Linked DNA regions of Coturnix japonica. The protein of the gene in region 1 purifies or fractionates together with the protein of each later gene. This does not show direct contact. Links are inferred from orthologs where the notes say so. Each region holds a gene or a part of one and is shown in the gene's direction. Other genes may lie near its edges.

Region 1 (3,563 bases):
TTGAAGAAATGGTTTTGCTGATTTGCAAAGGCACTTCTGTCTTTTGGGATGCAAAGGCAGCAGCAATGCAGTGTGTGAAGGCTTCTCATCCATATTGCTATATATAAAGAAGGGAAAGGAAACCTCTCTTCCTTAAACATGGTGGAGAGCTCCTGGATGATCTGCCAGCTCTTGATGATCTCTGGTAGCAGCAACACTCAGCCTGAATGGCCGTGCTGTCTCTCCAATTGACTGTCAGCTCATTCCTTAGCTACTGTCCAACCACACTGCCTTAATGGCCCTTCCAGCGCCTACAAGCTTAGCTCCCCAGTGAGGGAATGGAGTGAGGGAGTTCAAGAGGATTTTCCTTGAAAATGGATGAATATTTGTTTGCTCCATGGTTTTAATTTCACTAAGTCCCCTGCTGTTCTGTGCAGCTCTGTCTCCAGTGATCCCAGCTGCTCTACTGGGTCTTGCTGGATATCACTTCTCATTGCTCTCTTCCCTTCTTAGGACACTGTTTAAGGAGAGCAGGCGTGTACACGGACACCTCACATCAGTCCTGTGAGTATCGTGCAGCATTCCTTTAGAGTGATAACTGGTGATCTGCGTTCCCTGGGGCCTGGGTGGATCGTGCAGGAACACCTGAGCTTGTTTGGCTCCTGTCAGACAGTTTGGCGCTGCTTCATTTGGGAAGGTCTAAGGAGAGAAGTGGTGTGTGACATCTCCCAGCAAAAGCCTTTCTGAGGTGCCTGGGCCTTACAGCAGGCTCAGAGAATGACCTTTGATGCCAGGTTGCCTCCTGGCCTTGTTCAGCAGGCTGGAGTCAGGCTTCTGTGCTAGGCCCTGGGAGACAGTTGAGTAAAATGGACTGTGGTGCCAGCACTGTGTTTATTGCCACCTATTCAGTTAATCCTTACTGGATTCTGGATTCCCTCTTCCTTGCTGCCAGATTAAAGCAGAGGTACGATGAGCTCAAGGCAATGAGAATGGGAGAAACAGACCTGTGGGTGACAAACCAAGGGATCCATCGGAATCCAGCTGGGCAGGTGCCTTAAGGCCTAAGGGCCTCATGGATCTTGCTGGCAGCATGTAACAGACAACGATATAGATTTAGGCTGGTATCTGTTTGACAGCTGGTCCTGTTCTTGGCATTGGATGAATGAGGGGAAGCAGAGAAAGGGTATGAAATAGAATGTAGAGTCATCCTTCCCTCAGCCATACCTCTCCAGCAGCTCAGGGATGTCTTGTACCGGTGATTGCATCTGACCAGACCAAATGATCTATTTTCCATGAATTTGGCAGATGCTTTTGCATCTTTGACTTCTTCTGGGAATCTAAAAGAAGTGTGTAGTTTTTTTTCCCCTCTAAAATAGCCTGTGTATCCATTTCTCTCTGGGTGTTGCTATATTTAGGTCAGCAGTGGGCTTCTGTAGCTCGTAGCCCTGCAGCTGATGCAGGATGTGTCTGTTGAGTGCTTTCACTGCTCTGCAACCATTTCAGATACTCTGCTCTGCTCCCTAAATCGTTCCCCTGTGTGGGAGCTGGGACTTCCTAGGGCAGCAACAAATGTCATACGATTTTGAATCCTAGCAACCTGAGATGCTGCCTCTGTTCTTTGCAAAAGACTCAGTGGATCATCATTAACAGGGCCCCTGACTGGATGCTTCCCTACAGGCACTCAGTGAACCCATGTTTTCTTTGTCTCCCTTGAAACAGGGCGAAGAAGAAGGTTGTCGCTCCTACTAAAGTGAAGGGGAAGGTGAGTTCTGTGTTTTTTGGTACACACATTTGATATATCCCAGTAGTTGAGAGACTGCCATCCTAGGTCCTATACTTGAGCTTTGTATCTATGCATAGATGTAAGGAAGTTGTATTCTTAAACAGCAGCAGTCTGCACTGTGCTTGAGGAAAGAATTAGGACAGCAGCTAGAACTGATGGCAGCAGGAGTACCAGCCTGGAAGGAGGGTACCTGTCATCGGACAGGTATCACACCTTTCATCCCAAAATCAGGGACCTTTCCTTCCCTTCTCAGCATTACATTCTGCCTCTGTTTTGACTTTGCTTTCTGTTGTTATTTTGTTCCAGGAACTCTCCTCTAAACCTGATAAAAAGGTGGCTGTTTCTGTTCCATCAGTACATTCAAGCAACACCGTAGCTCTGTCATCAGAATCCCAGGCAGGAAGTCTTAACATCAGTGCCCAGACCAGAGAACTCCTGTCCCTTGGGACAGCACAAGCAGCCAACAGCACTACTACTCCTGCTGCCTTCATGGACAACTCTTTGGATGAAGATTTAATTCATAATCCTACTTCCTCCCTTGAAGCAGTCTCCAAGGAACTGGCTGTGTTGAACAGCAGAGCAGGAGGGAGCCCTGACTTTCCTCTTCCTGGAGCTCCAAAAGCTCCACCTGAGAAGATTCCAACTATTGCATCCTCAGAAGAGAAGAGAACATTTCCAAAGGCCCACCCTGCTCCCACAACATCCTCTGCTGGTTCCCTCCAGTCTCCTCTAAATTTCCTGGCTGAACAGGCCCTCGCATTGGGCCAAACTTCCCAAGACAAAAAGACAGAGAACTCTAATTATAAAGAGCTCTCCTGCCAAGCCTCCCCCAGCAAAATCCTTCCTGATATACACCAGGCTAAACAGAAGCACCACAGCCTGGTCCGACCAAGCCATGGGCCTCAGACCTCCACCTCGGTGCCAGGTACTCAGGTGAAGGTTTTCCACTCAAGCAACCAGCCACAGAAAACTTTCACCTCTCCGGCTCCATTTGTCAAACTGCAGAACCCCAAGTCCTCCTCCCCATTGCCCCAACGCTCCCTCCTCCAGCAGGTCAAGTCATCAACCAAAGCTCAGAGCTTCCATTCCTCTGCTGCCTCAGGCAGCACCCAAAACTCCAGCAGTTCTCACAAAAGCCCAGGCTCATCATCGTCATCTCTAAACTATACAGGAAAGCACTCAAGTGGCTCTAGCACTTCAGGACAATCCTATAAATCACCCTTTGTTTCTGGATCCCTCTCCAAGCATGGGGCTTCTTCCAGCAGCTCCTCATCGGGAGCGTCTGCAAACCAGGGCTGCTCCTCTGGGAACTTGCTGCCCAGCATGCAGACCCCTTCCTCCAGCCAGGCATCCAGCCGGCCAGCCCCGAGCTCTGCAGTGAAGAAGACTCCTGTCTCTCAGAAGCTGACTCTGGTGGCACCTCCAGGAGGTTCAAATGGAGATTCTAGTGGGGGCACACAAGGGGTGGCCAAATTGCTGACCTCCTCCCTAAAGCCAGCTGTTGCCAGCAGCGCCGCATCTTCTACCTCTGTGCCGGTAAGTAGGAGCATGCTGACCCAGCCCGATGCCAGGAGAGCACATGGCGTTGTGTCAGGCAGTCTCCTGACTTGCTGAGACCTGCCATAAAATGGTGACTTTGAAAGAAGTTCCTGAAATTCTTGAATGACTGTCTGGACTTTGACTGCTTAGGTTAGGAGGACTTGGCCTTTGCAATGGGTTTACAATCTAGAGTTCAAGCTTTTGTTTTCAGCTTAAAGTAATGATCAAAATACTCTGGTACCTTCCAGACAGCAATTTTTGG
Region 2 (4,025 bases), on another chromosome or scaffold:
GAAAAAAAAATAATAATCCAAAATGAAATGAACCAAATAAGTTCCCAGCAGGCACTTGTGAATCTACATGTGATGCAACACTGGGAGCACGGAAGGTCAGAAATGTTTCTAAGCTGTGATAATGGCTGCTCACTATCAAGTATGTGCAGCTCTTTCCCATTTCCTCGTCCCTACTCCCCAGCCTTTTCTCTATCTTTAGCCCTTCTTTTTCACTCCAAAGCGCTCTGCTCAAAATATCCTGGTAGATGACAAGCTGCTGCCAGCCTGAAACCTCCTGGAATGTTACAACGAAACTTGCCCAAGGATCTTCCCATGGCACATCTCTGTGCAGATCAGTCAGAAATTATTGGCAATTTATGTTTCTTGATAGTAATAGTAGCTTGTTGTGAGGAGTCTCTTCTACTGTGCCCAATCTGGCCTTTCATCTGACACGAGGAATGCTAAAAATGTACACTGAGCAACAGATGAGGCAACTATCAGACACTTCTTTGTCAACACAGAAGCATAATCACCTTTCCAAACCTGGCAGTGGCTTGGAGGACGGCTAAGGGCCTCACTGTAGACATGGCAGCACTCTGCTGCTTGCCTGCATGGCTCAGGCAAGATGTCTGCTCCGTACCTTCCTGCCGCACATTAAGTGTTCCCCGCAGGCACGATTACTGCATGACCACGTATTTATTTCCTCCGGGAATCGCCTCTCACGCTGACGAGAAACACCTCACACCCCCAGCCCGGGGCACGGCTCTCCCCAGCCCAGCGGCGGGCGGTGACATGACATATCCCCGCTGCCATTCCCGCACACGGCAGCCTAAAATGGCCTCCTCCAAGGGCCGCTTGTGTTCGGGGCGTGCGGCGCTGCCGGAGGCTTCACTACAGCACAGCCACGGGTTGACAGCTTTCTGGAGGCCGCTCACACAGCGGACCAGGGCTCGGTCGGGCAGTCCCCAGTCAGCACGTAACACCTGACACCTCCGGGTTCGCGAAAAGAATTAAAAAGAATGAAAACACGCCTTCCTCGGGCACTAACAACCGGCAAAACCCACAGCACATGGCGGAAACCCACGCGCGAGCAGGGGCGCGGCCTACGGCTCCCGGGGCCGCCCCTCGGCTCCGCGCTCGGCCCCGCCCGCTCGGCCCGGCCCCTCCCCGCTCTGCGCGGCCGTTGGCCGGCGGCTGCCGGGCGGTTTGGCGGCGGTGTCGGGCGCCGGCCGGGCGGGGGCGCCGAGCGGCGCGGAGGGGCCGGGCGGGCGGCGGCGGTGCCTGTCTTGCCGCCGCTCGGCGGTCGGCTCGGCTCGGGGAGGAGGGCCCTAGCCCAGCGCGCGGCCAATCCGGACGGGCGCTGGCGGAGAGCAGGGCAGAATGGGCCGTAGTTGAGTGAAATAGGAAAGCTGCGAACAGAGTGGAGTGCTCCCGGTGTAAATAAAAGGGGGGAAGAAAAGTTTCCCCAAGTCGCGGCTCCGCAGCCTCGCTCCGACGGGGGGCAGGGGGCTTCGTGCGAGGCGGAGATCACCGCTCGGGACTTTGCCGTGCGGCGTTCACCCGCTCCTCCTATTGTGATTTTTTTCAAAATATGGCAAAGGTTCAGGTGAACAATGTAGTGGTGTTGGACAACCCTTCTCCTTTCTACAACCCTTTCCAGTTCGAAATCACATTTGAGTGCATAGAGGACCTGTCGGAAGGTGAGTACCGCTCTCCGGACGCGGGTTCGGCGGTGCCCGGGCTGTCGGATGCGGGGCCGGGCGGGCTCCCTTCGGGCCGGGCCTGCTCCCGCCGCCGCACGGTTCTCCTCCCCGCAGAGCCGTGCGGCCACGCGGGGGATGCGGAGCTACGGCGGGGCCGCCCGGCCCCGGCCCGGGCAGGGAAAGTTAGCGGCGGAGCCCTCGCTCCGGGGCCGCCGCTCCGCTTCGCTCCCCGCCGCGCCGTCGCCGAGGCCGCCTTCAAGTTGCGAGGAACTTGTTAGAGTGGTGGTAGCCATGTTGCCAGCTTTGTGTGTGCGTGGGGGGGCAGAGCGGGAGCGGGCGGGCGGGCAGGGCGCCGCGCGGCCCCGCGACGCGGGAGCGGAACTGTTGCGCGGCCGTAGCGCTGCCAACGGGAGGTACCCGCAGCGCGGGCAGCGTTTGGAGCGTGCGGTGCGGGGCCTCACGGTCCATTTTAATACTTAAAAGGAGGGAAGGAAAAAAAAAAAAAAAGAAAAGGAAAAAAACAGAGCTGGAGGCCGGGCGGACGAGCGGGCGGCTCTCGGTGGGCGCAGTGCTCGGAGCCCGGTGGGTGGCGGTCCGGAGGCGCGGAGCCGTGCCGGGAGGAGGGGGAGGCGGTAGCCACTATTTTTGGAAGTCACTCGAAAGTTACCGGCTGCCGCCGGGGGAGGCGGCTCGGCGCCGCCCTGCACGCCGCCCCGCGGGGACCCCGGGACGGGAGACGCGGCTGAGGGACCCTTCTCGGCCGGGCTCGAGTCCTCCCGTCCGCACGGCGGGCCGCGAGCAGCCCCCGGCCCGCTGTGGGCCGGCTCGCTCGGCACGATGTGTCCGTGCCGCCGGCAGGCCGCGCCGCGCCTCTCCGCGGGAGGCGCCCCGAGAGTCCGCGCGGGAACAACCGGGCGGGAGATTCGAACGCGGCGGCGCACGGCGAAGGAAGCGGCGGGATGAGCGGCACCGAGAGACAGGAAAAGGCCGCTCCGATGGAGCAGCCACAGGACAGGTGCCGCTATGGGGCACAGTGCCGCCTGCTCGCCGGGGAACCAGGGCAGACAGCGGGAGGCAGGGAAAGAAACTCGTGGCAGTAGAGAATGGGGACGTTTCTATTGCTGCTGTGGTTCAGTTTGCCTCCCTCAACACTCGGCGCGGGTTTCTGTCCCTGTGTGGCGGGTTGGCGGTGCTGTCAGGAACTTTGTCAAAGTCCTGTCTGCGTTTGAGGTTCCCCCCACGCCTCTGCCCCCTTCCTAAAACTGATCAGCGTCTCAGTTTGAGCAGCCCGCGCCATTAAGCTCCGTGCACATCCCGATGCTGATGGCTGCTCCTCCCTGACTCAGGCAGTCAGGGCTCACTCAGGACAGCAGCACCTGAATCCTCACACAGCAGTGCCTGCAGCAGCACAGGCACTAGGCATCACCTTGCCTTTCCTTTGGTTTGTGACCACTCCTAACTGTGTGTTTAACAGTGCGATTAATCTGGACAGTCAGGATGAGAACTGGAGGTGGCCCAGTTCAAAATTCTCAGTTCCCTTCCCCCATCTGACAAAGGTTAGGCTACAGGATATGTTTAGGGTAAGCATTGCTATCTTTCACGTTTAAAAATGAGGTTAAACAGCTTCTTGAAGAGAATGAATTGCTGTCATTTCCTTAGCGTTTGTGTGCTAATGTCTGCTCTGCTGTTTACAGCCAGTCCTGTGCACCACTGGTCTTAAAAGTAAATTAATTGAGTTCACTTCCCCCGTCTTTAAATTATTCCAAGTCATCATGTATCAGCAGTATCAGATCAACCTTTTAAAGGTATAAGTTATCTTCAAAGGCTTGTTTTTCAGTACCAAGTATTACTGCTTTAGAATGAGTTTGTTTTCCTGGAATAACTGCAAGTGATGGTATGATAACCTTAAGCGATCTAGCCTCTTATGTCCCCACTCCTTGAACACAGCAGATTACATAGGCTCCAACAGAAGGTCACCAGCTGACCCAATGAGTGCTTAGTACCCCAGCAGCCAACACCAGGTGCTTATGGGGTAAACAGAATCTCTGATGCAGAACCTGGCCCGTTGTGCCGTGCTGTATGAGGGGTTACGGTTTCATTAATGAGGAAAAAAATCAGTTGCAAGCCTAAATGCTGGAGACATTCCTACAGACTGAACAAATTCTCATTACAGCTCCCAGCAAGTAAATGGGCCCTACCTGCTGTAGGAGAATCGCAGCTTAACCAGTCTATGAAAATAGAGGGGCTTCTGCAGACTGGAGAAAGGTGGTGGGATGGCCTAGTTTATGAGGACTGGAGAAAGCATCAGCTTCCCTGATAAAGACAAGTTCCCTGATCCTTTAT

Evidence for each region.
Region 2: the proteins of UBN1 (region 1) and ASF1A purify together in Homo sapiens (affinity purification with mass spectrometry; 6 studies listed by BioGRID and IntAct, counting the BioPlex papers as one, with this or other methods). This does not show direct contact. The link is inferred for Coturnix japonica from reciprocal best matches to the Homo sapiens genes UBN1 and ASF1A.

What each region holds. Positions count from the first base shown.
Region 1 is NC_029529.1:11,642,101-11,645,663, forward strand, and holds part of UBN1 (ubinuclein-1), read left to right. Parts: intron 1-492; coding exon 493-543; intron 544-1,698; coding exon 1,699-1,741; intron 1,742-2,068; coding exon 2,069-3,298; intron 3,299-3,563. UniProt on the Homo sapiens protein: Acts as a novel regulator of senescence. Involved in the formation of senescence-associated heterochromatin foci (SAHF), which represses expression of proliferation-promoting genes. Binds to proliferation-promoting genes.
Region 2 is NC_029518.1:57,106,810-57,110,834, reverse strand, and holds the start of ASF1A (histone chaperone ASF1A), read left to right. Parts: upstream 1-1,184; 5' UTR 1,185-1,570; coding exon 1,571-1,679; intron 1,680-4,025. UniProt on the Homo sapiens protein: Histone chaperone that facilitates histone deposition and histone exchange and removal during nucleosome assembly and disassembly.